7 linked regions of the Sus scrofa genome follow. The protein of the gene in region 7 interacts with the protein of the main gene of each other region in a pairwise test. Links are inferred from orthologs where the notes say so. Each region holds a gene or a part of one and is shown on either strand. Other genes may lie near its edges.

Region 1 (4,039 bases), on a different chromosome or scaffold from region 7:
GATGACACGAGATGACCTCTCTTGCCGCCACAGCCTGACTCACCCTTCCCGGGTCCATGAGCTCCTCCCACTGTCTCTAGTTCCTGACCCACTGCTGCCCAAGCCCTGGAGCAGAACAGGCCGTAGCTCCCGCGACACCTTGCACCAGGAACAGCACGCCGTCAAGAAACCCCTGGTCAGGCTGGTTTTCCTCCCTCAGGCCTTGATGGCTCCTTAAGTCTGTCCTCAGAGCCCTTGTCATGTCCCGACAGGCCGAGCCACCGGGCATTCCTTCCTGGGACTCCTCTGTTGCAGACACGGGCCCTGTGCTGTCATCGCCTGAGACCGGGCTCCAGGAACAGGAGCTTTGGGGTCCGTCTTGTCCCCGTGCATTCTCCCCAAGACCCCCTGTCTTTGCGTCTGACTGGAGTGCCCGCCTTTTGGGCACCGTGCTTTCCTGCTCCCTTCTCTCAGGAGACCCAGGGCACGGCTGGTTTTTGGAGACTGACACATGGGGACTCCCAGTCTCCTGACGGGCATAGCTATGCACAGAGCTCTCGAGGCCAGGACCCTGGACCCTCCCCAGGCTTCTGATCTAAAGTGCCCTTCAGGACGTGCCCCTTGCCTTCCAGGCTGCTCTCTTCGTTGCAATATCCGCTTCCAGCTTCTCAGCCTGCTCCTGTTTATTTCTGAGTTTCTCGAGTGCCACCTGGAGCTTCTCCTGCAGAGAAAGACAGCGGGTAATGCCCAGTCAGACCAAAAAGTAGGGTGGGGGGGCACAAGGTCCAGGAGGATCCTACTGGTCCTTAGAAAAGCCTGAGGCGGGGAGGAGGAAGGGTGAGCCTCTGACCGGGGTGGGCATTCTGTGATGGGAAGACTCTGGAAAAAGCCTGATGTTTCTTAGGAAATAGAGGTACCCTGTTGGCGTGGTGGGGGTGGGGACACATTCGTTCCTAATTAACCAGGAGGCCACACAGAAGCATGGGCCTTGCAGCCTTTTCCCACAACAGACGCCCTGCTCCTGGGCAGTGGGAAAATCGTGCCGAGATGGTGGGTCTTCCCTTAAATAGGACATAGAAGGCAGGGGATCCCCTTCCTGTCCCCAACCCCTCAACTCCACAGGTGACTCGGTCCCACCCCCAGCCCGGGAGAACAAAGCGCTTATCAGGGCCCCACCTTCTTCCCGCCTGCTCGTGCCCAGGTGCCTCCGGGCTAAGGCCTCACCTGGTACTCCTGAGCCGCCTCCTCAATGGGGACCATGGTGTGGTCCCGGTGTTTCCGGGACTGGGAACACACCCAGCAAAGGACCTTCCCATCGTCCTTACAGAACAGGTGAAGCTTCTCTCCGTGCACCGCACACAGCTCCCACTGCGGGCCTTCCTTGACCCCCTGGCTCATCTCTTTGAGGTTATCCACCATGTTGGCCACCTGCCGATTGGGCCGGAGGTTCCTGAGCAGGAAGTGCTGCCGGCACACAGGACAGACGCTGCCCCCATCCTTCCCAACCTCGGAGATGCATTCCTGGCAGAAGCTGTGGCCACATTCGATGCTCACGGGCTCCACCATGGGATCCAGGCAGATGGAGCACGTGACCTCATCCCACATCCTTGCCAAGGGCAGTGCTGAGGCCATGGTGCTGCCGGGCTATGAAGCAGCGCTGAGGAGATCTCGGGGTGGCCTAGCGGGGAGGGGAGAAAAGGAAAGAAGGCGATGAGAAGAGCTGTGTGAGGAAAACAGAACAATTCAAAGGAGACCTCGAGGGAGCGTGAACTGGAGGGGCTGAAAACAAAGGTAACAACGACGTCAACCTGAGTCACAAGGGCTTCTCCTCCGGAGTCTGGTCCAATGAGCCAGTCAGACAGAAGGGGAAACTGAGTCCTCAAAAGAGATAGCAAAAATTGCTGGGAATCTGAGATCAAGCTGCTTACAGTTCCACTTTCATGTCTATCTCTGCTGAAACCCTCGGCGCCCAGGCTTACTCGTCCATCTTCCATCTCCAGCCACTGGTCCTCTTGCTCTGCTGAGAAGCTAATCCTAATAGCAGCGACCACTTACCATGCCCCTTCCCCCGTGCCGGGAGGCACATACTTCACATTCCTCCTCATTAATCCCTGAAACTTGGCAGGAAGGAGCTATCTATCACCCACAATATGAACATATAAATAAGTATATATATACACACACATCTGCACGTGCACATATTTATCCATATGTGCAGGTGTACATACCTATGTGTGTACACACACACAGACACACCCACACACCCACACATGTCTAAAGAGCACTCCCCCACCTGTTCCCTCAGCTTCCTGAAGCAGGCACCTGTCTTTGTTTCCTCCAGGGCACAGACCCCAAAACTTCTAATACCCTAAGCAACCCTGCCCCTGTCGTTTCCAGAGGGGACTTTTGTGGATGGGCGTCTCGGGGATGGCAGGCCTACCCCGCCCTGGGCTCCGGAGGACTTGGAAGTCGGTTCACAGCCCAGCCTCCTCCCGGGCGGACGGCAGCACGGGGAAAACCGCCGGTTAGGGTCGAGGGAACCCTGCGCCCAAGAGGGCTCTGGGGCAGCAGAGAGCTCGGCTGCAAGGGGCTCTTCAGATCCGGGGCAGCGGAGAGCGGTCCCCCGGGGAGGCCTGGGGTACCCGGGTCTAACCGAGTTCGTGAATCCACTCACCTTTTCAAGGGACTCCGCAGATAATAGCTGGCTCCAAGTTTCACTTTCGATTTCCCGCATTTCCCGTCGAGCGCAAGTCTGAAAGGAAGGGGAGGGAAGGGGCGGAGGCGGAAGGCGGGAGGCGGGCGCGTTGAGCTTCGGCCAGTGTCAGCGCCCCGGGGCTAGGATGGCTCAGAGGCTCCGCAGCATCCAGTCCTTGCTTTGCGCTCCTTTCCAAGTCTCTCTGTCTAGTGGCCTCAAGTAGTGTGACTGCTCCGTGGAGAGGCTGCTCTCTTTGACTCGGGTGCTTAGCCCCAGCCTCCGTACCGTGCCACCCAGAGCTGCCTTAAGGAGTTTGGGGTGACCGAAGGAGCTCGGGGGAGCTCTCCCACAAAGGCCACCGTCTCTAGGGAGTTCCCTTCATGGCTCAGTGGTTAACCAACCCGACTAGGATCCATGAGGATGTGGGTTCCATCCCTGGCCTCGCTCAGTGCGTTAAGGATCTGACCTTTCGGTGAGCGGTGGTGTAGGTTTCAGGCGCCGCTGGGATCTGGTGTGGCTGTGGCTGTGGTTGAAGGCCGTCCCCTGTAGCTCTTATTTGATCCCTAGCCTGGGAACCTCCATATGCCACAAGTGTGTTCCTGAAAAGCAAAAAAAAAAAAAAAAAAAAAAAAAAGGCCAGTTTCTCTCTCCTACTTCAGGAAAAAATTCTTTTTAGGAGATGCGGTAATTAACATTGGGGAGAGAGGGATTTTTTTCCTGCATTTCTCCAAGGTGGGTATCACACCAGGGAGTGGGACGAAGGGGCCTGACATTTATTGAGCACCAACTGTAAACTTCTCACTGAGCTAGGGGTTTTCTCAGGTTTATTATTATCAATTTTAAAATTTGCAGCAAAATACACATAGCATTCACCATCTTAGCCATTTGTAAGTGTCTAGTTGCGTGGCATTAAATGCATTCACATTATTGTATGACCGTCACACTATCCACACACAGAACTTTGATCTTGCGAAACGTGAACTCTGCCCCCATTAAACAATAGTTTCCCATTCCTCCCTCCCCTCAGCCCCTGGCAACCACCATTCTGTTCTCTGTCTCTGTGAGTTTGACGTTTTCGGTGCCTTACGTAAGTGGCATCCTACCGTATTTGTCCCTTTGTGACTGGTGTATTTCACATAACCTGAGATCCTCAAGGTTCATCCACCGGAGCCGGTGACAGGACTGCCTTCCTTTTAAGGCTGAGCGATATTCCAGCGTCTGAGTATTCATTTTGATTATCCGGTTATCTGTCGACGGATGCTTGGGGTGGGTGGCTTCCGCCTACTGGTTAGGGTTAGGGTTAATACTGCTGTGTCAGGTTGTTTGCTTTAAGCCACGCAGCGACTTAGCAGTTGAGTTATTGTC
Region 2 (4,062 bases), on a different chromosome or scaffold from region 7:
GTAGGCCGGCAACTGCAGTTCTGATTTGACCTCCAGCCTGGGAACTTCCATATGTGGCAGGTGCGGCCCTAAAAAGCAAAAAATAAAAAAAATAAAAATATTAGGGATAGCTGAATCAAATGCTCTTTTGTGAACTGTAATTCATCTAAAGGCATTTCTTCTCTTGGCCACTGAAGGTTCAGGGGAAAGTGAAGGGTGGAGAAGATGGCTCCCCAGAAACCCTGTGGGGCATCCCCCACCTCCTCACCCAGCCCCTACAATATAGTTCAAACCTCAAATTCAAACCTCTTATGTCACCTATCACCAAATCTTCTCATGATCACTAGGTTCCCACGTTTTCATGACCCTAAGAAAATTCTACAACTATTTTGTCTAAATTTCATGACAAACTACTACTAGACTGGGGAATTAGTAAGCATTACATGAGGAGTGGTTGAAAGCAGAATAATTTATTAAGGCTGATGAAAAACCCCAAACATGGATTCAGACCCTTATTTGAGTATGCTATTTTAAACTTGACTTGTGGCAGGGCACAGACCAAATTAAATCACTCATTTTACTGACTTAAGTCCCAGCCTTCAGTTCTCTAGTGGATTATTTTTAATTTAAAAATAAGCTCTTGTCCTATAAAAGTAAGCAGCACCAAGGAGAAACGCAATACAGCCTAAATGGCCCAAGAGGCAGAGTGCTCACTTTTACAAACAAACAAACAAACCCTCAAAAGTATTAACGACATTAAGTTTAGAAGAAGAACTTTATGGTCAACATTCTACATTATAATGAGGTAATATAGATAGGTATTTCTCTGAAATGGCTCCTGAAGATTTTTAAGTAACAAGACATTACCATATGACCACACAATGCTGTATTATACAGCCTCTAAAATACAGTGAGGTAGAGCTATGTTTCAGACATAGAAAAACACGATGATATGAAGTTAAGACAGCAAGTTGAAGAAGCCATTTTTGGAGAAACACTTATGTCTGTGTGTGCATATATAAACCTTCCCACACTGACATCTAGGGTTCTAGGGTTCTATATTCAGCTGCGGAGAGTATATTTATATATGGTTAGAAAAAGCCTATGAAGATGCACACTAAACCTGACACTGGTGGGAGAGGAGGTGAGAGGTCTTGGTCTTTCACTTGTTTTTTCTTGTCTTAGTAGTTGGCTTTTTCTTTTTTTTTTTCAAGAGCATGGATAACTTTTTAAACTGAATAAAAAATAAACCAATGTTCTTTAAAGAACTGTAACAGCTCCTGAATGCCCTTCCTGTTAAATTCCTGATCAACTCTTGTTTTCACCCCTTAGTAAAAAACAAAACAAAACACAAAACTCTGAAGGCTAGGAGAGGGAAAGGCATGGCTTAGAGGGTTTTCTTATTGTTGGAGGAAAACAGGCTATAGGTACCCTTTTTTTAGCCTCATTCCGGAGGGCTCCCACGTGTCAGGGGTGTGCAAAAGGCTCCCATGTGTCAGGGGTGCGCAAAACCATGCAGGAGGAATCTAGTACCACTCCTTCCAAGGCCAGTGCTGGTAAAGGGTGCGTTTAGTTTACCCTTTTCCCCTTCTTCAATCCCTCACAGATGGTCAGCTTCCCGATCCAAGTTTTACTTGAGCGGCCCAGCTCTACCAAGCACACCCAAGTACACGTCTGCAGAGTACGCAGGCTCCCGGTGGGAGAGCTGTGATGTGTTCGAACAGCGATCGCGTGCCAGTTAGGCTGGGGTCAGTGATCGGGCAGCTGTCACCCCAAAGCTACTCCCAAAGTGGACAGGTGGGCATGGGGGAGGGTGGACAAGGTGTAAACTTTTGTTGTTGTTGTTGTTAAAATAAGAGAGATGCCGCCTGCCTCCCAGCGCCTGCGAGTGGTTTGGAGGATAAGGGAGTTTCAGGTCGCCGGGAAAAGTGCGCAGCTGGCACCTGAGCTTACCTTGCAGGGAAACAGGACTGCCGAGGCCACCTTCTCCATAGCCAGGTTCCTGATGCTGGGCGTCAGGGCGCCCCTGCACGTCGGGCAGCAGCTCAACTTCTGGCGGCATTGGTTACACACCAGGTGCCCGGCCTGGCACTGCAGGATTGGGGGCAAGACATAGTCAAAGCAGACCGGGCACTCAAAGAGCGAGGTCAGCTCGTGGTGCTGCGGGGACACCGGGCCAGCCCCGCCGCCGCCTCCGGGGCCCGAGATCACCGCCGCCGCGGCGGGCACCGCGGACGAGCCGGGGCCCGCAGCCGAGATGGTGGCGGCGGCCGGGGGCGCAGCCGGGGACGGAGCGTGCTGGGGCTGCGGCGGCGGCTGCTTGTTGCAGGGTTTGTTAGCGCTGGGGCCGGTGGAGGACGGGCGGCTCATCGCGCTCTGAACCAACCATGGAACTGCGGGCGCCTGCCTGCCGCGGGGCCGCCGGGGTCAAGGCGGTGCGCGCCCCGCGGGCGGCGGGCTCCGGGGCAACGCCACCGCGCCCAGCCCAGGACCAAGCAGTGAAGACAGTCGGCGCCGGGCAGGCGGGGGACTGGACCACGCCGACGATCTCTGCGGCCCCGGGAGCTCCGAACTCCCCTCCGCACCCCCAGACTCCTCCTCCCCGCGGCGTCGTGGCCCCAAAGCCGAGCTGTACGCAGAACCTCGGCCCACCCGCTACCGGAGCAGCAGCTGACGCAAGCCCCGGGGGCGCGCGCGGACGTGACGCCTGGACACGTGTGAGGCCGCCCAGGCGCGCGGGGACTGGCGGAGCCACCCTGCGCTGGGGCGCCGGCTCCGCCCGACTCCAGCTGGCAGCGCCGGGGGCCGCCTAGCGCGGGCGCTTCCTGCCAGGGCTGCCGGCCCGGCCCGCGCCAGTGAGCATGCCCGACTCGCCGCCGCCGCCGCGCGGGATCTGCCTTTCCGGGTTGCGGAGGGGGCCGCCCTTCAGAAAGGCGTCGCTGAAGTCCTTTAGCCACACCCCGGGGAGACACGCTGACGCGTCCCGCGGGCGCAAACCAGAAGGGCAACTTTAGGCGGGGCTGGGGCTTGAGTGGTGGGCGGGGCGGGACGCGGGCGTCCTTGGACTGGTCGGAAAAAAACGAGAGGTTAGTTACGCTTTCCCGGGTTGAGTCAGCAGAGAGCTGAGAAGGCGTGCGGCGCCGCCAACCTGGCACTTAGGATGGAGCTCTGGGTCGAGACACGGAGCTTTAGGCATGGAGCAGGACGAGGGGCTTGGATCAGGTCTGCAGCGGCGCAGGATCTAGCGCTGGGCGCTTAAGGATGTGTTTGAACCACTTCTTGGTCCTGCTGCCTAAGGCGGGGAGGAGGTAAACTATTCCTGTTGTCATCTGACCTGCCGAAGCCTTCGTTGAATTCAAAGCATCTGACTTGCTGGCAGGCCCGGGAGGCAGTTCGTGGTCAGTGTTTGCTAAAAAGAGAGTTCGAGATTGCCAGATTCTAGGAGTGCCAGAAATGTGGCTTGGGTCTTGAAACACGCGACGACAGTGGGTGACCCCCTCCAATACAACACAGCCTCATCTTTGAGACCCGTCAGAAGTGCACAACTTTGATGCAAGATGTGGGTACTCGTTTTGCACGCCAAGCCGAAGCCTTAGAGAAGGGTGGTAGCCTGGAGGGAACCACGAGTTAATGTGTACTGAGTTAAATTGCTTTTCTGCTTACTTCGAGCCCCTGACCTTGGAACTGGGGGAAGGGGCTACGTAGCTGGGAATCAGGCGATTCCTTGCAGGAGAGACAGTGGTAAGGAACAACAGTCAGGCCTGGGTGAAGAGCGGTGTCCTCCGCTTACCATCTGTGTGACTTTGGACAAGTTCTTTATTTCTCTGCGTCTCAATTTCCTTATTTGAAAAAGTGGAATAAAAACAGTACCTCTCTAGGAGTCCCTGCAGTGGCACACTGGGTTAAGAATTCCACTGCAGTGGCTCCCGTGGCTGGGGAGGTGTATGTTTGGTCCCGGTGGGGCAGTGGGTTAAAGGATCCTGTATTGTCCTGCTGCATCCTAGGTCGCAGCTGCAGCTCGGACTCAGTCCCTGGCATAGCATAAAGGATGCAAGGGTGCAACGAAAAAAAAAAAAAATCACC
Region 3 (4,266 bases), about 23 Mb from region 7:
ATCCCATCTTAAAAAGGCAACAACTGGAGTTCCCATCATGGCGCAGCGGAAATGAATCCAACTAGGAACCATATAGGAACCATAAGGTTGAGGGTTTGATACCTGGCCTCGCTCAGTGGGCTAAGGATCCGGCATTGCCGTGAGCTGTGGTGTAGGTCGCAGATGCCGCGTGGATCTGGCGTTGCTATAGCTCCAATTGGACCCCTAGCCTGGAAACCTCCATGTGCCGTGGGTGTGGCCCTAAAAATAAAAAAATAAAAAAAAAAAAAAAAAAAAAAGGCAACGACTGAGGTTCCAGGAGGTAATTTCCTCAAGGACGGAGAGCTTCCAAACATTTCCTCAGAAATGCCTTCTCTGCCTTCCCAAACTAAATTAGTGCACACATACACACACACAAAAAAAGGAGTTCCCGTCGTGGCACAGTGGTTAACGAATCCGACTAGGAACCATGAGGTTGCGGGTTCGGTCCCTGCCCTTGCTCAGTGGGTTAATGATCCGGCATTGCCGTGAGCTGTGGTGTAGGTTGCAGACACGGCTCGGATCCCGCGTTGCTGTGGCTCTGGCATAGGCTGGTGGCTACAGCTCCGATTCAACCCCTAGCCTGGGAACCTCCATATGCCGTGGGAGCGGCCCAAGAAATAGCAACAATAACAACAACAACAAAAAAGACAAAAGACAAAAATAAATAAATAAATAAATAAATTAGTGCACACATACCAATTCCCATTCAGGAGCCCTTCTGCTTTTATGTGTGTGTGTGGTTTACAGTCACTTTCACCCTAATAGCTAAGACAGTGTTTCTTTTCCTTTTTTTTTTTTTCCCAGCCACACCCACGGCATGCAAAAGTTCCCAGGCCAGGATTCGAACTCATCCACACAGTGACAGTGCCAATCCTTAACCCACTGAGCCACCAGGGAACTCCCAGTAATTTTTTTTTTTTTAACTATCTTTGTCTCCTCCAAATCTACACCAGTGCCAAGTACACAGTCATAATACAAATACATGTAATACTTTTAAAACCTGAATTGGGAGTTCCCGTCGTGGCGCAGTGGTTAACGAATCCGACTAGGAACCATGAGGTTGCGGGTTCGGTCCCTGCCCTTGCTCAGTGGGTTAACGATCCGGCGTTGCCGTGAGCTGTGGTGGAGGTTGCAGATGCGGCTCGGATCCCGCGTTGCTGTGGCTCTGGCGTAGGCCGGTGGCTACAGCTCCGATTCAACCCCTAGCCTGGGAACCTCCATATGCCGCGGGAGTGGCCCAAGAAATAGCAACAACAACAACAAAAAGACAAAAAGACAAAAAAAATAAATAAATAAAACCTGAATTGTACTCTTAACCAAGTCATTCAGATTCCAAAGTCTCTGTTCTTATCCACTGTGATTTGCTGCCCAAATATAAAATCAATTGTGTGTGTGTGTGTTTGTATAGGCAGGGAATTCAGCAGCCTGATTATCAAGATCCTTTCCTCTCCAGGACCTTTCCCAGAACTTAATTAAGCTTCCTAGATCCTAGGGTTCTGGCCCTACCCCTCAGCTCCGATGTTCCTGGCTCTGTGAGAGGGGTCTCATCACGCGTTGGCCCTTCCTGGGTCCCAGGCGCCTCTGGCCCTGAAGACAGCTCCCCCTGGCTCTCATGGTGTCGGAGAAGGGCTTCCACAGTTTCATCCAGCTGAAAGGAGAAAGCACCAAAAATGTTAGGAATCCCTCAGGTGCTTCCTAGCATGATACTCCCTTTCTAACAGAGAAGTCTGAGAACTGGCAGCTGGATCAAAGCCCAGTCTTGTAAAGGAGAGGGGCATTCACCTGGGCCCAGTAGCGATTGACAATGAGGAGTGTGGCATCATCTGTAGCCTGCCTCTTCTCCAGTTTCTCAATTCGTTCTCGGAGTTCATCTTCACAAGCCTGTCTCTGTTCCAATCGCTCTGCTAGTTTCTTGTTCTTGAACTGCAGAACCTTCAGGTCCATCTCCTCCTACCAAGGAAACAGAGGGGCCGAGGAGAGAGAGGGTCAAGAAGGGCCCAAGAAACCAATCAGAGAAAGAGACAAAGGAAAGCAGATAGAACGGATGTGAGAGGGGAGCAGACTGCTAACAGGACATACAAAGCTCAGACACCCACGGAGGAAGCGTCTTGTTTGTAAGGAGCGTCACGTTCTGCTCCTGCCTCTTTCTACCTGAAGTCTGACATGTCTGTCACACGCTCTCTGGGAACCTGTTTGCCTATCTGCGAGGGGAAGGCAGACGTCATGTCCTAGGTTTCCTTCAACAGAATGCTCTGTAAAGTGGATCTGGTTAAACTTGGGGAACTGGGAAAACGGTTCTGGGAAGTTGGGCGGGCTGGGGCAGGAGCCCACGAACCGTGGAAGAGATGCCCCCAAGACGAATGGGCTCTATAAGCGTTGTTGTTGTCTTCTCCTCGCGGTTCAGCTTCTTCTCTGGGGGCCCCGAGCCCCCATCGCCGGCGGCGCGTTTGTTGCCGGGCCCAGACATGGCCGCGGCGGCGAGGAGCGGCCCCCGGTCTCTCGAGGACGTCAGGCAGGCGGACTCGGCACTTCCGTCACCTGCAGAAGACAGAGAGTAGAGCTGGGGAAGGGGACGGAGGTCCGCAGCCACGAGCCTACCCCCGCACACAGCTGCCGGACCCCGCCCCGCCGGCCCCGGGCCCCTCACCAGCAGCAGGATCAGCCTAGCGCCGCCATCTTGGACTTCACCGGACGTCACTGGGCACCCCCGCCCCCCAGCACAGAGCGCAGGCGCCAGAGGCAGCGCCGGATGTGGCGAAATCTTCTCCAGTTCCTGTTTCTATTGGTTGTGCTTTGTTCCTCCTCTTGCGTCCGTTTGGTTTCTTTCTGAACACCTCCTCTTTCTCTCAGTGATTGGCCGGTAGGCAGTTGCCATGGTAACTGACAACACACTTCCACTCCGCAGTCCTAATAACGCCGCCTGCCTCAGATTAACAACTTCGAAGAGAGGGCACCGGGGCGGGGTTTGCATCTTATTATGCATGCGCATTCTCTTCTCACAGTTTGGCGAGCACGGTACACTTTCTCCCTTCCTACTGGATCCTCCTTAGCAACCGTCACCGTTGAGACGGAGGGACGCCCCCAGCCGATTGGCTGTACCCGGCCTCTCTGCAGCGTAGATTGGCTGAAGCGTCGATAAGGGCCAGGCCTTGGCAGTCGCCGCCCGAGATCGGCTGTCCCAGAACCGAGGCAGGATAAAGACGGTGGGGACCCGCGACACAGAGGAGCGACCAGATGATCCGCCGGAAATCCAGCCAATTCCGGCGACTGAAAAGGCGGTCGGAGCTGGACCAGCACTCCGAACTGCGGCGAGAACATGAGAAAGACCATGAGAAGGACCTCAGCTCGTTGGATGAATCGGCCAAGAGGATGGGAACAGGAGTGCGGACCGAGTCAGGGACCGTGGCCTCAGTGGATGCGAATGAAGATCCTGCAGCCAACTTGTTCCCGGTGAGGACAGGTCAGAGTGGTCTGCTCATGAATGTTTATAAAAGGGCTCCCAGGCAGGGGGCCGTTTGTTTCCCGGGCTGCCTTGGTGAAGAGGCAGGCTTGAACTGCTTGTCAATACGCTCATGAATAGTACTTAGGGATCGCCGAAGCCCAGCCCGCCGGTATTGCTAGTACACAGTTTTTAAGATGAGAAGGCAAGGTATCGCGTTGTTAGACCACCAGAGATTCACCAAGGGCAAAGAACCACGGGCCAGGACTAACAACGCAGCTCTGCCTTTCCCAATCCGCTTTCTCTCCCGCAGCCGCCGCTACCCCAGCCCCGGATCTGCATATGGTGAGTGTGAAGAGCTTTGAGGGAAAGTTACCCTTCACACTTGTATTATTCCTTTAGCGCTTCCTTACGAGCCTGTCAAACAGGACGGAATTCCCATTTTACAGACAAGGAGACTGAGGCCCAGAGATACAATTACCCAAGATGACTATAAGCCAGGTCTCCCGCTGCCTCAGTGACTTTGTTATAAAGTTACACAGCGAGTTAGTGGAAGAGCCAAACCTCTTAACTCAGGTCTCTTGCTTCCCAGTCCTACGCTCTAGCCATCATAGCCTTGTCCTAAGACTAATGCATAATGGCCAACACCTTTTCCCCTCTTTTCCTATGATAGGAAGTACCTCGACATCCATTCCATGCAGAGGCTGGAGAAGACAACCAACGTGGAGGAGATGAGGGAGTATGGCGGGGAGTAGGGACAGGAAGAACTGGCTCTTGGAGAAGGCTGAGGCAGTGGGCTGGGAAGG
Region 4 (3,500 bases), on a different chromosome or scaffold from region 7:
AAACCCTACAGCGTCTGCCTCTCCCAACAGGAAAGAAGCAAAAGACTTGCCCACCTTTTGGAAGAGACTTGAGTGACCTGCATCCTACTTACTTTCTTTTCTTTTCTTTCTTTCTTTTTTTTTTTTTTTTTTTTTTTTTTTTTGTCTTTTTGCCTTTTTCTAGGGCCTTCCCCGCGGCACATGGAGGTTCCCAGGCTAGGGGTCGAATCGGAGCTGTAGCTGCTGGCCTACACCACAGCCACAGCAACGCCAGATCTGAGCCGCATCTGCGACCTACACCACAGCTCATGGCAACACAGGATCCTCAACCCACTGAGCAAGGCCAGGGATCGAACCCGCAACCTCATGGTTCCTAGTTGGATTCGTTAACCACTGAGCCACGACGGGAACTCCTGCATCCTACTTACTTTCTCTCGTTGTGCTCCACACTAACTCACTCATCCTTCTTCTTTCCTTCCCGTGAACAGCTCTGAGTCTGGTCTGGAGGGTCCCCAGATGAGCAAGATATGCCATATCCCCGCTAAGCTGACTTTCTTCCCCAAGTTCAAGGGATAAGGTCAGATTCCACAGGTGGAAGAGCAGAAGCCCTTTTCTGCATGGTTTGATTTTTAAATTTAATTTATCAAACTCACCCTCACAGATGCCAAAGGCCAGCCTCCGGTCAACAGTCTAAGATGCTTGCTTAGCTTTTGAATCTCTTTTCCTAACTCTTTTGCAACCACTGGCTACATATTATCTTTAAATGTATTATAGTTTGGCTGTGGTTTCAGTCAAAAAAACAAAACAAAACAAAAAAACAAAACAAAAAAACCACCCACCCACATCCTTGCAAAAAAAGGAAGCACCTAAAATGAATATAAAACACCCTTAAGATCTGCATTATTTTCTCCTTCCCAGGAAAAAAAAAAAGTTAATTTTAATTACGAGGCACAGATCAAAGTGAAAGCAAAAAATGTTTCCGTTAGAGTCAAACCACGGGGTTTACGGTGTGCAATGGGGCGGCCACACCACCTGCCCGCTGGGGGACCCCCTCCCGGGAGCCTTCAGATGCAGCTAAGGCTGTTTCCTCTGCCTGGAAGGCCCTCTTCATCCTTTAGGGCCCCCTCCAAGGCTCCTCCTGACCCTCTGTCACCTCGGGTTAAAGGCGCCCTCCTCCGGGCTCCCACCCTCCTGCGCTCCTGCTGGGAACAGGACGCGGGTCACGGGAAGGGGGCTGGGCTGGCTGCACGGGTTCGGCCTCCCTCTGGACTGGCAGCTCCTTCAGGGCGAGGGGATGGTTCATGTTTCCGGCTCGGAACCCACCAGATCTTGGGAGGTGCGCCCTCAGAGGCAGAAGGCCAAAGGCAGCAGGGCCGGCCAAGCGGGGCTCCTGAGCATTCGAATGCATCCGCCCCGTGGCCGAATCCAAGGGAGAGTCTCCTACCTACCTTCAGCCGCCACAAAGGATAGGGCGAGTCGGTGTCACGGTTGAAAAACCGAGTTGTCTTTGTCCCTGCGCTTAATAAATATTCTGCTGGCAAACCCTGTGTTTGTGAAATATACCGAATCTGCAAGAAAAGAGGAGAATGAAGTCAGGGCTTTTCCTGTCACCACACACGGGGTGGACGAATGGCTCTAGTGCCTCTGAGAAAAATGACACTTTTCTAAGGATGGAGAGGAGCCATCAGAGGAAAAGGGAAAAGAAAGGCGGATAAAGGGAAGCAAGGCGAAGGGCTGCAAGGCTGGGGAGACGGGAAAATACCCCACACTCCCATCCATCCGCCAGGTCGGGAGCGAGGTGCTGATGTGGACAGGGCCTGCGCCAATACCGGTGCCGTGTGGACCCACCTGATCGTACTCTGAAGCCCCTGGATACAGCGGCCAGCCCAGGAACAGCTCCGCTATGACACAGCCCAGGGACCACATATCAATTGCCTCACAAAATGGTAAACCAAGGATGATCTCAGGGGCCCTGAAAAGGAAGAATGGAAAAAAAAAAAATCATGAGCGATGCGGAAATGTGGGCAGCTATGTGTATGGGAATTCCACAGAAAATCCAAGCTTTCAAGCCTGGGGTACCACGCCTGACCCCTTCGAGGGCCTGTCATTCTCACGCCGGGTTGCCACAGTCCCTGCATCCTTTGGCCTGGTCCTCCCAACAGCAGGGAGCCTGGCTGGATGGTTGGCTGAGATAAAGGGTTGGTCTGTGGCTCTAGAACAGACCCAGAGGGAACCACATCTCTTGATCTCATCACCATGACATGCCAGCCAGGTGAGCGAATACCACTTCATGGAGCGCAGTTCTCTTTTGTAGCTGAAAACCTGGGAACCAATCTCTAGACAATGCCTCGTTTTTGGAAAGGAATTCTGAAGGACAGGTATTCGATTTTCAATAATACATAAAACAAGCGTCCTCCGCCAGAAGAGAATTAAAGCCAATAACCGGTCATGCCAACAAACCCTCCCTTAGGAATTTGCATCGCCCTTTCCCAAGGAAATACTATTTTTTTTAGGAGCTTCTAAGAAGTCAACCTAAAAAGGTCTCTATTACAATGACAGAACCCTATTCCTGACACATACTTTGGGTATCAGTCAGAATTCCATGCTAAGCTCTTTCCCAACCATAGAAATTCTGTTCCTTCACATGATAAACCAGGTTACATGCTGGAATTTCTGAAGGAAATCACCTAAACTCAAAGGGAAAATGTCGCATGTGGTTGGTAATCAAAACCGGAGGTCACAGAGTTCTCCTTTTCTAGGAACTGGTCATGATTAGCTAGGGTTACATTTTGGAGAAAACCACGCTTCAAAGGTCGAGGCAACACCAGATTCTTAACCCACCGAGCAGGGCTAGGGATGCAGTAAATGCTTTTTAAAAAAATGAGGCTCGAAGCACTCTGCTGATACAGAAACGCACCGGCCCCACTCCGGTTTTCTCTATGAACTGCCTCCTTGATTCAGCGATGCAGGAAGAAACTATTCTCCTACCCTTTCAGCGGCCTGGAGTGGGGGTGCAGGGAGCCGGGGGACTTTTCTCCATCTGGGTTATCTTGGCTCATCTAGCATACGAGGAGGGACGGAAGGGCTTGGGGCTCTTAGCTGAAGTTCCCCCTGCTTCCAAAGCATCACCCCAGCTGCTGCTTTAAATTGGCTCTCGCTGCCCATCTTTTTTTCTCTGCAGAGTGGTATTGAAAAAAACAAGACAAACCCCACACCCCCATCCATCCGCCAGGATGCCAGAATGTCTTGTTTCAAAGTCTTCTGATTTTTCCGATGTAAAAAGGCGTTTCTCCACTTGGAGCTGGAGCGTCAGCACAGCTGCCGGGTGCTTCTAGGGAACCACAGTCACGTTCTGGGCAGCGAGCACTTGTCCTGAAGCCCAGGGCTGGGTCTTCCCAGGCTTCCGAGGTGCTGCAGAAGGTGGGGTGCGAGTGGCCTCAGGGCTGTTTAATGGGTCTTCCCTGTCGCCGTCCCCCCGCTGTGGGGCATCTTCCGTTGCCAGTGTTCTGCCTGGCATCTGG
Region 5 (3,994 bases), on a different chromosome or scaffold from region 7:
GTGTAGGCCGGTGGCTACAGCTCCGATTCAACCCCTGGCCTGGGAACCTCCATATGCCGCGGGAGCGGCCCAAGAAATAGCAACAACAACAACAACAGACAAAAAGACAAAAAAATAAAAAAAAATAAAAAAAAAAAATGTTAAAAATCATACTTGGATGGACTACGTGGAATAAATGCTAAAATAGAAACTGGACCATAAACAAGAAGGAGCTTAAGTGCAATAAAATCAGTTTTGACTGGACTTTCTCCCCCACCTCCCCTACTCATTCTGAGTCAGCTGTTACATGTGCTCCAGGGAGTTACATGTGATCCAAAGGATCACCAGGGTACTGACTTTGATTAATTCCTCCTAATGATGAACGGTTACCTGCTCTAGGAGTAATTTGGGGAATGAAAGGGGCGACAAGGGGAAGGGTCTGCTGCCATCCCACCATCCACCTCCTCTTCATCATCCATCTTCATGGAAAGTTAACACCAGCTAGGAATTAATCTTGTTTCCTACTGATCCATGCCCCCTTCAAAAGTGAGAAAGTAGAAGAGAAATGGAGGGCCATCCTCTCATAAAAGTTCTGAGTCCAGTATTTAGACACAGTAAATCATTCTACTTCCATTCTACAATATAAACCAGTATAATTTGCAAAGGTGAAGGAGAGTCAAGAAAATAAAGATCAAAAGCACCAGAGAGACTCACACAACAGTGGAGGTGAGGGATAGAGTCAACAGGTAAAGAATGCCTCGTACCCTAAAGTTCACCAGTGTTGCTGAAGCATTCATCAGCACACCAATAAACACTATTTATGAAATAAATGCCATCTGGAAGAAATGATCAACAATGTTAACTATGTGTCAGGGTGAATGAAAGATAAACTAGCAGCTTTTCCCAGGAATCTACCTTTGCTGGGATACGGTAGGCCATTTTCTTGGGGATGACAAAAGATCAGTCTACGGACGTCCTTAAGAGTATATTCCCAAGAACCCTAAGCCATATTTCTATCAAACTAAAATTTAACTCTTCAGATTTCATATTTTCCCTAACTGTAATTATTCTATCGGAAAGATCACTGTCACTAAAGGACTAAAGTTCAAGGAGAAACAAAAGTACCACAGGATTCTATCATAATGTGGCCCATCACAAGGATTTAAGACAACAGGAATCAATTCTTACCATCTGAAGCCCTGTGTAACCCAGGTGTTCTAGACCAATATAAAGGAACTCTCCTGTAATCCAGTTTTCCCCAGGAGATTTTTTTGTGCATATGATGATCTATGCATTTTATTTTAGGTCACTAGCAGAACAATGGGCTTAGCATTACCAAAATGCCCTGTATGTGTGCTGTATGCTTACTTCATAGTCCATTTTATGCTGCTTATTTTAAGAGAGCAACGTAGTAACTGGGAAGTGGTTCCTTCAGCACAAAATGATCTAAGCCACCAATGCCTTTCAATTCACTACGCCAAAACAACAAATCGCGTCAGGAGGCAGTAAACTCAGTTTGTATTCAACATAATATAACTACTAAGCAAGCAAAGCATTACTGTTTAATTTCTTGACCTAGGAAAATAGTTACACATTTATCATCAATAGTTCAGACTTATGATATAACACATATTTATTATTTTTCCAAACACTGTAGAAAAAGCACGATTTAAATTCCTATTCAAAGTGTGAAAAGCAAGCAAAATGTAGCTTGTAATTCTTATGAATGAAAGTATTACAGGACAGCAGCTGCTAAAACCTCCCAAAGCTCAGAAGATGGAACCCAGCTCCATCTTCAAACAGAAAAGGAATCCTAAGAACACAGCAGACCTGCAGTAGGAATCAAGGATTCAAGTGTCTGGACAACCCTGGAGGAGTCATTGCATAACCTGAAGTTTGTTTTAAACTGAGAAAAGTAGAGCTGCTCAAAAGAAACATCTCCAGCTCAATTACGCTGCAGCCATTCCCTGATCCATTCAAATTCCACCAGCTTATAACAACTTGCCCAATTCACAATTTAAGCAACCCAGTCTCTTAACAGTAATACCTTTTCTCTTCCTTGTCCCGGATGCTGGTAAACAAGTGAGCAAGACGCCCCTCCAGGAGTACAGAAAAGGTAAGGGAGACTTCCCGGTCATGAGAAGCCAGGCAGCTCATAGCCTTTCCCCCACGAATAGAGACTATTTGTAACAGAGGGCCCTACTGGACACCTTCCGTTCCTAAATTTGTCCAGGGTCAACTTTTCAAGACAGGAAGGCACGTGCCATGCCCCATACACTCCATTCACTCCTCAGAAGCACCGGCTACAGCGGCAGAGAAATGAAGCACCCTCCCGCCCCGAGAGGAGTCGACCACACCTCCCCATGAGCTCAAATTCGCCTGCGTCTCCAAAAATGGGAGCCATTGCTGAGCTGTCCTCTGCTGGGCCCTAAACCTTCGTCTGTCTCCCAAGTTTGTCTTCCCAAATTCATCGGCTAGGCTCTGGCCAGCTCGGTGAAGGACAGGGCTGGAGAGTGCGCAGCAGCGACTGGACGAAGCGGTGCAGCTCTCAGTCCCAGCTCTGGAGCTACCGCTGCAGGGTCCGGCCCGCGGGGAGAGCCATTTGGAGGCCTGGGCCGGGCTGCCGCTGGGAGAGCCTGCTCCAACGCAGATTGCCAGCCGGCCGAAGGCTCAAAGCACTCAGGGCGGTGGCTGCCGCGGCAGGAGAGGGGCGGGCCGGCGCATGGAGGCGGGGCTGCAAGCTCCGCCCCACTCGGCCTAGGGCGGCTCCAGGGCTCGCAGTCGCTCCTGCACGGCTCTGGCAAGAATCCCGAGCATGCAGCGCGCAACTCCCACACAGCTACCCAGCTCCGCAGAACCTCGCGATCCCCGGAGACATACCGCACGCCTCAGCTTTTCCACCGGCTTACGTGAGGTGGAAACACTCCGTTTCAGTAGGCCCAAACAGTCGGATATCGCAATTTGGGGTGGTTTCATAGCGCTACATAGAATATATGGAAAATACGTGGCCAGACAAGCACTCTTCTCTGCTCTATACTCTGCCAGTTAACCGTGCAAACTCCGGATTTTTATATAGCAAAAGCATTTGTCTACTTCATTAACTATTTATCAGATGTCAACTACCTTATTTCCTCAATTCTAACTCACTTCTCCATTTTTACCGCCGTCAGCACCTTATTTCAAACTTCCTTTCTCGATTCGAGAAGCCGTCGCAGTGAGAGTCGTAAACACATAACCATATTAAACTTCTACTTCAACGTCCAAATTGAGATTTTATTCTCTTCCCACTCTGGGAAAGCCATCTTAAACGCCCTCATTAAACAAAATAGCTTGTTTTGTTTTTAAACAAGCATTACCCTTGTCCCAATAAAGTCCTGGGCCTCAGATTCTCATTGCGTCAGCTCCAGCATTCAGAGGTTTAACCTGTCATTACATCACGCTTAGGGCAGCCTTTAAAGGGAGCAAGAGCTTGTAGTGGAGAGTGAACCCTGTGTAAATTGTAGATTGTCCATTTTCAGCATAAAATTTTAATTCAAATCACTTCCCCATCCTATTAATAGTATTCAGTCACCTCAGTCTCATTTTGATATTAGACAAAACATCATTAGGAACTGAAACATAACTGAAAATATAATCTGTCCACGGACAAATCTAAATTATTATTACCAATGTCTTTATTTTTTAATACATATTCACTCTAGCTAGGTGTTGGGTTTCTAAAGTAGAAGACTTTTAAATGTTTTAGGCAGAAAAACTCTTTCCAAACAGTATGAAGACAGAGTCCAAATTTGTAAAACAAGTAAAAAGGATGACAAATTCCTCAAACTAAAAAGTTTTTTTCCTCCAACTTCCAAAGGACCTGTATTGAAGCTTACAACACTGTCTGAAAACCATTAATCTATGGACACATTTCTCAGTAAGTCAGTCACGACAGTAAAAATGGAAGAGTTCCGGAGTCATCTACACTGGGATTCAAACCCAGCTTTCACCACCTACTCAACTGTAAAATCAGAAC
Region 6 (3,935 bases), on a different chromosome or scaffold from region 7:
AGAGCCGCACCTGCAGCATATGGAAGTCCCAGGGCTAGGGGTTGAACGGGAGCTACAGCTGTCGGCCCCTTCGCCGCAGCCACACCAGATCCGAGCAGCACCTGTGACCTACCCCACAGCTCGTGGCAACGCCGGATCCTTAACCCACAGATCGAGGCCAGGGACAGAACCCGCGTCCTCATGGATCCTAGTCGGAGTCTTAACCCACCGAGCCACAAGAGGAACTCCAGAAAACCTCTGAGGTTTAAAACAAAACCAAACAACCCCCAGCTATGCTTCATGTGGACTGGGCCTGCTACTGCTCAGCTCCACCTGGGGCAACGTTCAATGTCTCCTTGCCAAAAGTTACGTCCAGTTAGCAAAAAAAAAAAGGTCAAAAAGCAGAAGGACTGTGACATGTGGGACAAGGGCCACCACCAGACACTCAGGACACACGTGCCTGGCTCCCCCCAGCTCTGCAAGGATTTCTAACCCAACAGACCACGTGGCTTGCAGAGCTCGTCCAGTTCCTCTTAAACGGAGCTGACCCTCTGCTCCAGCAGGAGGAAGGCTTCACTCCGCCCACACACCGCTTGGTCCCCAGTGGGTCCGGTTACAGGCTTTTCTGCTCTTTTTCTAAATCAACAGGTGGAAACAACAAGGCAAGGCCTGGTTTGGATGCACCACAAACACGTTTTTGAGACGGGCCTTCTGGGGAATGGGGTGTGGCAAGCTCCAATTCCACCCTCCACTTGCCAGGTCCCTGAGCAGGTGAAGAGCCTGCCCCGAAGGGGCGCGAGGCACGCAGGGGGAGCAAAGCTGCACAGCCAGCCGCCTACCTTGTCCCGTGGGGCGGGGGGGTGCCACCCTTTGGGTCAATGGGGGCCACTTGGGACAGCTTTCCAACGTTGTTTACTATTTACAGGCCAGGCCTGATTTAAAAGGTGTCCTCTGCCTGTACCCCCCATCCCCCCGCCCCCGCCCCAAACCCCAGGTACTGGCTGGCTCCTTACTCTCAATTCAAGTGTGTTTTTCTTTTTACTACTGCACCGGCAGCCTATGGACATTCCCAGGCTATGGCTCGGATCCGAGCTGCAGCTGCAGCTCAGGGCCACGTCGGATCCTTAACCCACTGAGCTGTGCCAGAGATGGAACCCGATTCTCACAGAAATATCTGAAACCTCCAGCAATGAACCTGCTAAGCCAGAACAGGAACTCCAAAATAAATACCTTTTTCTTTTTTTTGGCCACCCGGCAGCATATGGAGGCCGGGGATCCGATCTCGGGGACCACGGCCAAAGCTGCAGCAGCGCCAGACCCCTTAACCCACTGTGCCAGGCTGGGGATCGAACCTGCCTCCCCGTGAGACGCCACAATCCCGATGCGCCACAGCGGGGACTCGCTCTATTCCATTCTAATCGCTCTCAAAGCGTTTAAAAAAAAAGAAAGAAAGAATGAGAAATCAGGTTGACAGTAAAACGAAACGCTTCTGTCACATGCACACCTGGAAGAGTTCCCTAAGTCTCCACCCCACGGGGAGGGTGGGGCGCCAAAAAAAATTATCTGTGGGGCGCAGAGCTGCAGGTTTGCAAAGTGGGGCCGCAGGCACCCCCATGCGTGGGGCGGTGGAGGGATTTAAAGTATTTTTCACAGCCACAGTCAGATGCACTTGGCCTGTTTGCACCCCAGTCTCTCAGGGGTGCCCAGGGGTGTGTGCCAGAGACAGGCGGCGGGCGGTGCCAACCGCGTGGAAACAGAAGCGGACCTCCGAGGATTTCTCACCTTAGGCCACACGCCAAAGGCGGCCACAAAGTAACACAGCACCGCACTCCCCACCGACCCCTCTGTTTGGGAAGGAGTTACTGTTCATCTAAAAATAAAAAGCCACGTATGCTCGCAGAGCCTGGCGTTATCCTGCTTCCTTTGCAAATCAGGGCAGACAGGAACGCTCCGGGTCTGCGGCTGAAGTCCCAGGCGCGCCAACGGGAGCCGACGCGGCCCCGGCCACACAGCGCCTCGCGGGCCCCCCAGCAGCGCTCGGAGCGCGAACCGGTCCCGACACCGGAAAGTTCGGGGTCGCAGACGCCGCGGGCGCAGGTCGCTAAGGCCGCAGAAGCAAGGTGCCCCTGAAGCGAAGGGCCCTGCCCCCGAGGCCCCCCCGGGCCCCGCACGCCCCCCGGAGCCCGTCCTACCTGACCCTGCGCGGAGGCCGGGCTCTCGGCGCGCCCTCCTCCCTCCGGGCGGGGAGCTGCGGGGCAGGCGCGCGGGACCCTGGGGACCCCGAGGACCCTGGCCCGGCCCGGCTGGGTGGGTCGGGGCGCGCGACACCGCAGGGAGACCCCGGCCTCGGGCGCGCGGGGAGGAGCGGCGGGCGGGGCGACCCGCCCTCCACCCCCGCGGCCGCCCGGCCCTGCTTCCGGGAGCGCCCGGCGCCGCGCACGGGCCCAGGCCGCGGTCAAGGGCACGCGGGGCCCGGGCGCGCCCCTCCCCCGCTCTGCCCCCGCCTCGGGGGCTGCGCCCCGCGGGGGACGCACCGCCCGGGCCCGGAGCCGCCGCCGCCATCGCCGCCGCCGCCGCCGCCGCGAGCCACCCGCCGGCCCCGCGCCCCGACCCCGCCCGCCCGCCCCCGGCCGCTGACCTGGCTCCGCGAAGCCCCCGCGGCAGCGGCGCAGCAGCTGCGCCAGGATCACCGCCGCGCCCGCCGCGTAGACCCGCAGGGCCGCCCGCGCCGCAGACAAAGGCGACATGGCTGCCCGGCCGCCGCTTCCGCGCCGCCCGCGGGACTCGGCGCTCGCCCGGCCGGACGGCGGAAACGCGCCCGCAGCGGCCCGCCCCCCGCGCCCGCGCGCCCGCCCGCCAGCCCGCCGGCCCCGCGCCGACCCCCGCCCCCGCCTGACCCGCGACCCCGGCCCCCCACCCAAACTGCAGACCCCAAGGACGCCCGCTCTGACCCCTGACCCCGCCTGACCCGGGACCCCCAGACTCCCTCCAGGATCATGGACCCCAGGGACCCCCCCCAGACCCCAGACCCCCACCCAAACCGAGGACCCCAGGAGCCCCCGCTCGGACCCCGTAGCTTCCCTGACCGGGACCCCAGACCCCCACCAGGACCACAGACCCCTGGGACCCCAGCCTCCCGACCCCCACCCAAACTGCGGACCCCAGGGACGCCCGCTCTGACCCCTGACCCCGCCTGACCCGGGACCCCCAGACTCCCTCCAGGATCATGGACCCCAGGGACCCCCCCCAGACCCCCGACCCCCACCCAAACTGAGGACCACAGGAGCCCCCGCTCAGACCCTGGAGCCCGGCTGACCAGGACCCCAGACCCCAGAGACCCCCCCCAGAGCCCCCTCCAGGACCACGGACCCCAGGGATCCCCCACCTCCACTCCCGACCCCGGAACCCCATCCAAACTGCGGACCCCAGGGGGTCCTGCTCTGAACCTGAACCCTGGCTGACCCGGGACCCCAGACCCCCACTAGGACCACAGACCCCCAGGGATCCCCCCAGACCCTCACCCAAACTGTGGATGCCAGGGAACCCCCCTCCAACTCTGCCTGACCCGGGACCCCAGACCCCCTCCAGGACCATGGACCCCAGAGACCCCCTTCCCAGACCCCCACCTAAACTGCAGACCCCAGGGACCCCTGCTTGTCTGTCAGTGCCCCACCAGACCCAAGGACCCAGCCCGGACCATGACTCCTGCCTGGATCCTGGGATCCCACCTGACCCCAGACCCCAGGGTTCCCCCTCCTGGACCCCAGGACACAGAACTATGGACCCCCCCCACCCAGATCATGTGCCCCTGTGCTGACAGGAGACCCAGGGAAGCCCCGCCCTCACCTTGAGCCCCCGCACAGACCCCAGGACCATCACTCAGATCCACCCTGGGACTACAGACCCCTGGTCCAGGGACCCCACCGGGACTGCAGGCCACCCCTGCGCCAGAGACC
Region 7 (4,130 bases):
GGGAGGTCCCTTCCTGGGGTCGTCAGACTGGAAGACGTAGGTCTCCTCTTCTGCCAGTAGGCAGGACCTGACGGGGACTGGCCTCGGGGCCTTACCTTATTCCGGAGCTTTAACTAGTCTTGCTTGGGAGTTGGTCCGTCTCTCCACCGAGTCCGGTTGGGGTTCGGCCATTGGGAGGACTGGAGCACCGCCACGAAGGAGGACCCGAAATACCGTCGGGTGGAGCACCGCCTCGTTCGCCTCCGGAGCTCCCCAGCCTTCCTGCAGCTTCACCGCAGCCCCGGTGGCTCAAAGGGCCAGAACGGTTGGGGTCTCGCTGGGGCCTCCAGAAATGTTACAGCTCCACGTGCAGCACCGACCAGCGAGAAACCAAGCGACACTGGGAGAGGAGGAGAATTTAGCTCTCATACCCGGCCGGCCTGGGGAAGATTGCTCTCCAGAACCCAGGCCCCGAACAGGGGTGCTACAGGCTTTTACAGGCCAGTTCTTCTGGGTCCACGCTTGGAGGGGTGGACCGGAGTGGGAACTGGAGGAGCCGGCGGCAGGGAATGTTCCAGCTTTAGGTGTGGGTCTGTTAGTGGTCACATGATCATGGGGGGGCGCTGAGCAAGCGGGGCTTACAGAAGCAGAACTTGCAGTTGGAGAGGTTTTCCATTAGTAATGTCAGGTTTTCCCTTTCATTCCCCCAGGGCCAGCCCTGGGTTAGGGAGCGTCCGCTCTTCTCCTCCCATCGGTCGGGCAGCCACGCTACCTTTTGTACGGGGTCAGCTCATTGGGCAGATTCGGCAGACGCCCCGCCCTGAGCCCCGAACTGGCCAATTGCAAGGAGTTTCACGGCCTGCCGCGCGCGAGGGGTTGTCACCGTGCTGCGACGCTTCGGGGATCCCTAGGCCTCAATGATCTTTGCTCCCCGGCCCCGGGCCCTAGCCCCAAGGAGACCTCCAGGACCCGTGCCCGGGGAGGTGCCCGCGGGGCATCCGGGGGGCCCTTGGAGATCTCGGCCTCCTGGTTGCCCCGCCGCACGCCGGCGTGTCCTCGGATAGACGCGGGCCCCGCGAAGGGGAGTTTGCAGACGCTCCCTCACATAAGGGACGCGGCTCCTTTAAGGGCACAGGTGTCCAGGGCGCCGCCTGACTGGAAAGCCGCCCCCGGGGCTGGGCTCCCAGGCCTGGCCCGGGGCGCGGGCGCCCGGCGGCGGGGCACGGGCGGCGGGCGGCGCACAGCGACGTGGACGGCGCGGGGCGTGCGGCGGCAGCGGCGGGGCGCGGGGCAGGCGCGCGGCGGGCAGACTCCGCAGGCCCCGCCCCGCCCCGCCCGCGCCGGGGTCCTCGAGCGCTCGGGCTGCGCGCGGAGCGGGCTCGGGAGGGAAGTCCCGAGACAAAGGAGCGCCGCCGCCGCCGCCGCCGCCGCCGCCTCGTCCGCCTCACTCGCCGGGCCGCGGCCGCCCGAGGTGAGCGCGGCGAGACGGGCGGGCCGGGGACCGGGCCTTGTCGGGCTGGGGCCTCCGCCGCCGTCGGGCCCGGCCAGGCGGGCTCCCTCCACCCGCGGCCCGGCCGGGCCCGCTCCCGGGAACCGGCCTGCCCCGGTGTGTTGACGCCGCGGCGTGGGCCGGCCCGCTGGGCTCCGCGGCCCCAGACGGCGGGGGCGTCCACTCGGGCGCGCGCTCGGGGCGGGTCGCATCGCGGCCGGGCCGCAGACGGCGCCCGCCGCTCGGGCTGCGCTGACAGGAGCGCGAGCGGGCGCCGAGCCCTCCGCCGAGGCGGAGCGTTTCCGGGGTCACGGTCTGCGCGCGAACCTGTGGCGTGTGCCAGCCCTGGAGACGACGCATCGCACAAAGAGCGCAAAGCCTCGCGCTGCGGCAGCGCCGGCCCGTTTGGGGGTGGTGTGTGGTGTCTGTAAATCAAAACAAGTCCGAGTTCTTGCGCCTCCGGAGCCTCGGCCGCAGTTGGTGGGACCCTGGGCACCCGCGCTTCCTTTGACGGGGAATTTTCCTCCTGGGACTGCTTTGTACCAAGTGCACGGAGGCTGGAAGTGGTAGTTGAGCCAGGAGCAGGAAGGCCAGAGAATGATTAGCTGGGCTCGCGGTAACGGCCTGCACCTGCCTCTCAATCACAGAATTCACTGGTTTGGTTTGTGTGGTTTGAAAACAAGCTTAGTTCCTCGGGTTGCAAAGTTGTTGTTCTGTGTTTGCAGAGTTGGTGCCCTTTCCAGACCCCTAACCTCAAACGTTTCTTGCTACTAAGGAAAACTTTTTGGGTTGGAAGTCTTCCCACCAGAAGAGGGGAGTGGATCCCAAGTTTTCCCTGACTTGCTCATGGCCCGCCGGGTGGTTTAGGGGGTGAACTCTGCATCTTGTTGCGATAGTCTTGCTCGGGATTTGGGGCCTGGCTGCAGAAACGGGCAAGAACAGGGCGTGCACCTGGGCTGGAGAGTCTCCCGAGTGCAGGGTGCCTGCATCAGGTGAAGCAAATGCCTTCCCCCTGGGAAGCTGATGTTTGGGTGGGAAGGGCCCATCCTGGGCTGCTGATCCTTGCTCACTTTCACCCTGGGCCAACCCGTGAGTTCACAGTGCTGTGGCTTATCGCACAGCTGAGAAGGCTGAGGCTGGGAGAGAGAAGCATCTCGCCCGCATGTGCAGCCAGTTAGTGGCTCTGCAGGCTTTGCTGTCAAATCGCAGCGTGTGATCTAAGAAGAGGGGATTCAGGCACAGCTCACTCTGGAGGAAGGTGGCGTGGAGACTTCCAGAATCTGCCTGGACATCCCAGCTGCTGTCCTGCAGGCTAGCGGTTCGTGGGTATTTCATCCTTGCATCCTAACAATGTCCATCTCTGGAGTGTCTGCTAACATTCAGCTGCTTCGGGTGACTCTTGGTTGGGGAAGGCAGATTTAATTTTAAGTGGGATTCTGAAGGAGTAGCTCCCCTTGTCATTAAAATGTAACAAATTGGGTGCTTTCTCCCGGATAAGGGAAGGCCAGGCCTCTCTGCCTGGGCCTGTGGCTCTTCACCCTTTTGTTGCCTGGTCTGGTCCCCTGGCACCCCTGAGGAAGGGGAGGCAGGAGTTCCTGTGGGACCCCCCCCATTACCTTTGGCGCAGCCACAGCTGGGCTCTGGGACAGCCTGCAGAGGCAACTTTGTCCCTTGTCAGCAGAAGAGGTGGCCTGTGGCCGGGTGCTGGCGCACGGTCAGCAGGCAGGCAGCACTCAGGATGGCCCCCCTGGCCTGGTCTGCATCCTGGACAAGCCGTGACCCCTGCCCTCCTCCCCGAGCAGCCTCAGTTGCCCATTTAGTATCCATGGCTCCTCAGTGTCCACAGTGGTGCCCTGGGCCTTCATGACCCATGGTCAGCGCCTGGCCAGGTGCAGACTCACGGGGAGCAGCCGCTTGCTGGACTCCTGCCTCCGTTAATTCAGACGTGTCCGCCTGCTGCCGCCTTTGCCCTGGCTGCCCAGGGGCTGCAGAGACCCTCCAGATTCCTCAAGCCCTGCGGGAGGGGCAGCCCCACTAGCTGCTGGAGTGGGTGGGGCAGGGTTCTGTTTAGAAGTGAAGGGTTGGGGAGTTCCCGTCCCGGCTCAGAGGTTAACAAACCCGACTAGTATCCCGGAGGATGCAGGTTCGGTCCCCGGCCCGGCTCAGTGGGTTAAGGAGCTGGCGTTGCTGAGCTGTGGTGTCGGCCAGCGGCTACAGCTCCAATTTAACCCCTAGCTTGGGAACCTCCATATGCCACAGGTGCAGCTCTAAAAAAAGACCAAAAAAAGTGAAGGGTTGGAGGCAGTCAAGGGAAGGAAAGCTTTTCAGACTCGGGGTCACTGCCCCCGCCTCCCTTGGGCGGTCCCTGGCCCTCGCAGCCAGTGACCCTCCTGGCTCTTCTTTCTGTTCCTGGTGAGCCCGCCTGGAACAGTCCCTTGCATTGCTGCAGCTTGTGCCCACGCGGGCACCTGACCCTGTAGGACCGGGTGCCTCCCTGCCATCGTCCTGCTTCCTGTGTCCTGGCACCTAGCACTTCCCAGCACACGTCTTCCTCCTGCGTGGGCCTTCTGCACAGCCACAACTCTGTCTCTCCTCAGTTTGTGTTGTGTGAACAGACAGATCCCAGGCGGGGAGTTCCCATTGTGGCTCAGTGGTAACAAAC

Evidence for each region.
Region 1: the proteins of UBE2I (region 7) and TRIM21 interact in a two-hybrid assay, tested with the Homo sapiens proteins (2 studies listed by BioGRID). The two-hybrid records come from large-scale screens. The link is inferred for Sus scrofa from reciprocal best matches to the Homo sapiens genes UBE2I and TRIM21.
Region 2: the proteins of UBE2I (region 7) and SIAH2 interact in a two-hybrid assay, tested with the Homo sapiens proteins (3 studies listed by BioGRID and IntAct). The link is inferred for Sus scrofa from reciprocal best matches to the Homo sapiens genes UBE2I and SIAH2.
Region 3: the proteins of UBE2I (region 7) and RNF40 interact in a two-hybrid assay, tested with the Homo sapiens proteins (2 studies listed by BioGRID). The two-hybrid records come from large-scale screens. The link is inferred for Sus scrofa from reciprocal best matches to the Homo sapiens genes UBE2I and RNF40.
Region 4: the proteins of UBE2I (region 7) and HIPK2 interact in a two-hybrid assay, tested with the Homo sapiens proteins (5 studies listed by BioGRID and IntAct). The link is inferred for Sus scrofa from reciprocal best matches to the Homo sapiens genes UBE2I and HIPK2.
Region 5: the proteins of UBE2I (region 7) and SIAH1 interact in a two-hybrid assay, tested with the Homo sapiens proteins (2 studies listed by BioGRID). The link is inferred for Sus scrofa from reciprocal best matches to the Homo sapiens genes UBE2I and SIAH1.
Region 6: the proteins of UBE2I (region 7) and ZBED1 interact in a two-hybrid assay, tested with the Homo sapiens proteins (4 studies listed by BioGRID and IntAct). The link is inferred for Sus scrofa from reciprocal best matches to the Homo sapiens genes UBE2I and ZBED1.

Annotation. Positions count from the first base shown.
Region 1 is NC_010451.4:5,780,894-5,784,932, reverse strand, and holds the start of TRIM21 (E3 ubiquitin-protein ligase TRIM21), read right to left. Parts: upstream 2,801-4,039; 5' UTR 2,654-2,800; intron 2,627-2,653; exon of another isoform or gene 2,420-2,626; intron 1,658-2,419; 5' UTR 1,612-1,657; coding exon 1,204-1,611; intron 701-1,203; coding exon 605-700; intron 1-604. UniProt on the Homo sapiens protein: E3 ubiquitin-protein ligase whose activity is dependent on E2 enzymes, UBE2D1, UBE2D2, UBE2E1 and UBE2E2.
Region 2 is NC_010455.5:90,968,739-90,972,800, forward strand, and holds the start of SIAH2 (E3 ubiquitin-protein ligase SIAH2), read right to left. Parts: upstream 2,801-4,062; 5' UTR 2,350-2,800; coding exon 1,933-2,349; intron 1-1,932. UniProt on the Homo sapiens protein: E3 ubiquitin-protein ligase that mediates ubiquitination and subsequent proteasomal degradation of target proteins.
Region 3 is NC_010445.4:17,633,191-17,637,456, forward strand, and holds the start of RNF40 (E3 ubiquitin-protein ligase BRE1B), read right to left. Parts: upstream 2,801-4,266; 5' UTR 2,669-2,800; intron 2,560-2,668; 5' UTR 2,489-2,559; coding exon 2,357-2,488; intron 1,972-2,356; coding exon 1,804-1,971; intron 1,670-1,803; coding exon 1,528-1,669; intron 1-1,527. Other genes in the region: CCDC189 (coiled-coil domain-containing protein 189), read left to right, coding at 3,256-3,471, 3,774-3,805, 4,134-4,199.
Region 4 is NC_010460.4:10,080,968-10,084,467, reverse strand, and holds part of HIPK2 (homeodomain-interacting protein kinase 2), read right to left. Parts: intron 1,952-3,500; coding exon 1,828-1,951; intron 1,548-1,827; coding exon 1,428-1,547; intron 1-1,427.
Region 5 is NC_010448.4:36,359,366-36,363,359, reverse strand, and holds the start of SIAH1 (E3 ubiquitin-protein ligase SIAH1), read right to left. Parts: upstream 2,801-3,994; 5' UTR 2,118-2,800; coding exon 2,027-2,117; intron 518-2,026; exon of another isoform or gene 455-517; coding exon of another isoform or gene 370-454; intron 1-369. UniProt on the Homo sapiens protein: E3 ubiquitin-protein ligase that mediates ubiquitination and subsequent proteasomal degradation of target proteins.
Region 6 is NW_018085344.1:633,006-636,940, forward strand, and holds the start of ZBED1 (zinc finger BED domain-containing protein 1), read right to left. Parts: upstream 2,801-3,935; 5' UTR 2,727-2,800; coding exon of another isoform or gene 2,618-2,726; intron 2,390-2,617; exon of another isoform or gene 2,172-2,389; intron 1-2,171. Other genes in the region: dehydrogenase/reductase SDR family member on chromosome X, read right to left, coding at 2,618-2,726.
Region 7 is NC_010445.4:40,566,142-40,570,271, reverse strand, and holds the start of UBE2I (SUMO-conjugating enzyme UBC9), read left to right. Parts: upstream 1-1,330; 5' UTR 1,331-1,450; intron 1,451-4,130. UniProt on the Homo sapiens protein: Accepts the ubiquitin-like proteins SUMO1, SUMO2, SUMO3, SUMO4 and SUMO1P1/SUMO5 from the UBLE1A-UBLE1B E1 complex and catalyzes their covalent attachment to other proteins with the help of an E3 ligase such as RANBP2, CBX4 and ZNF451.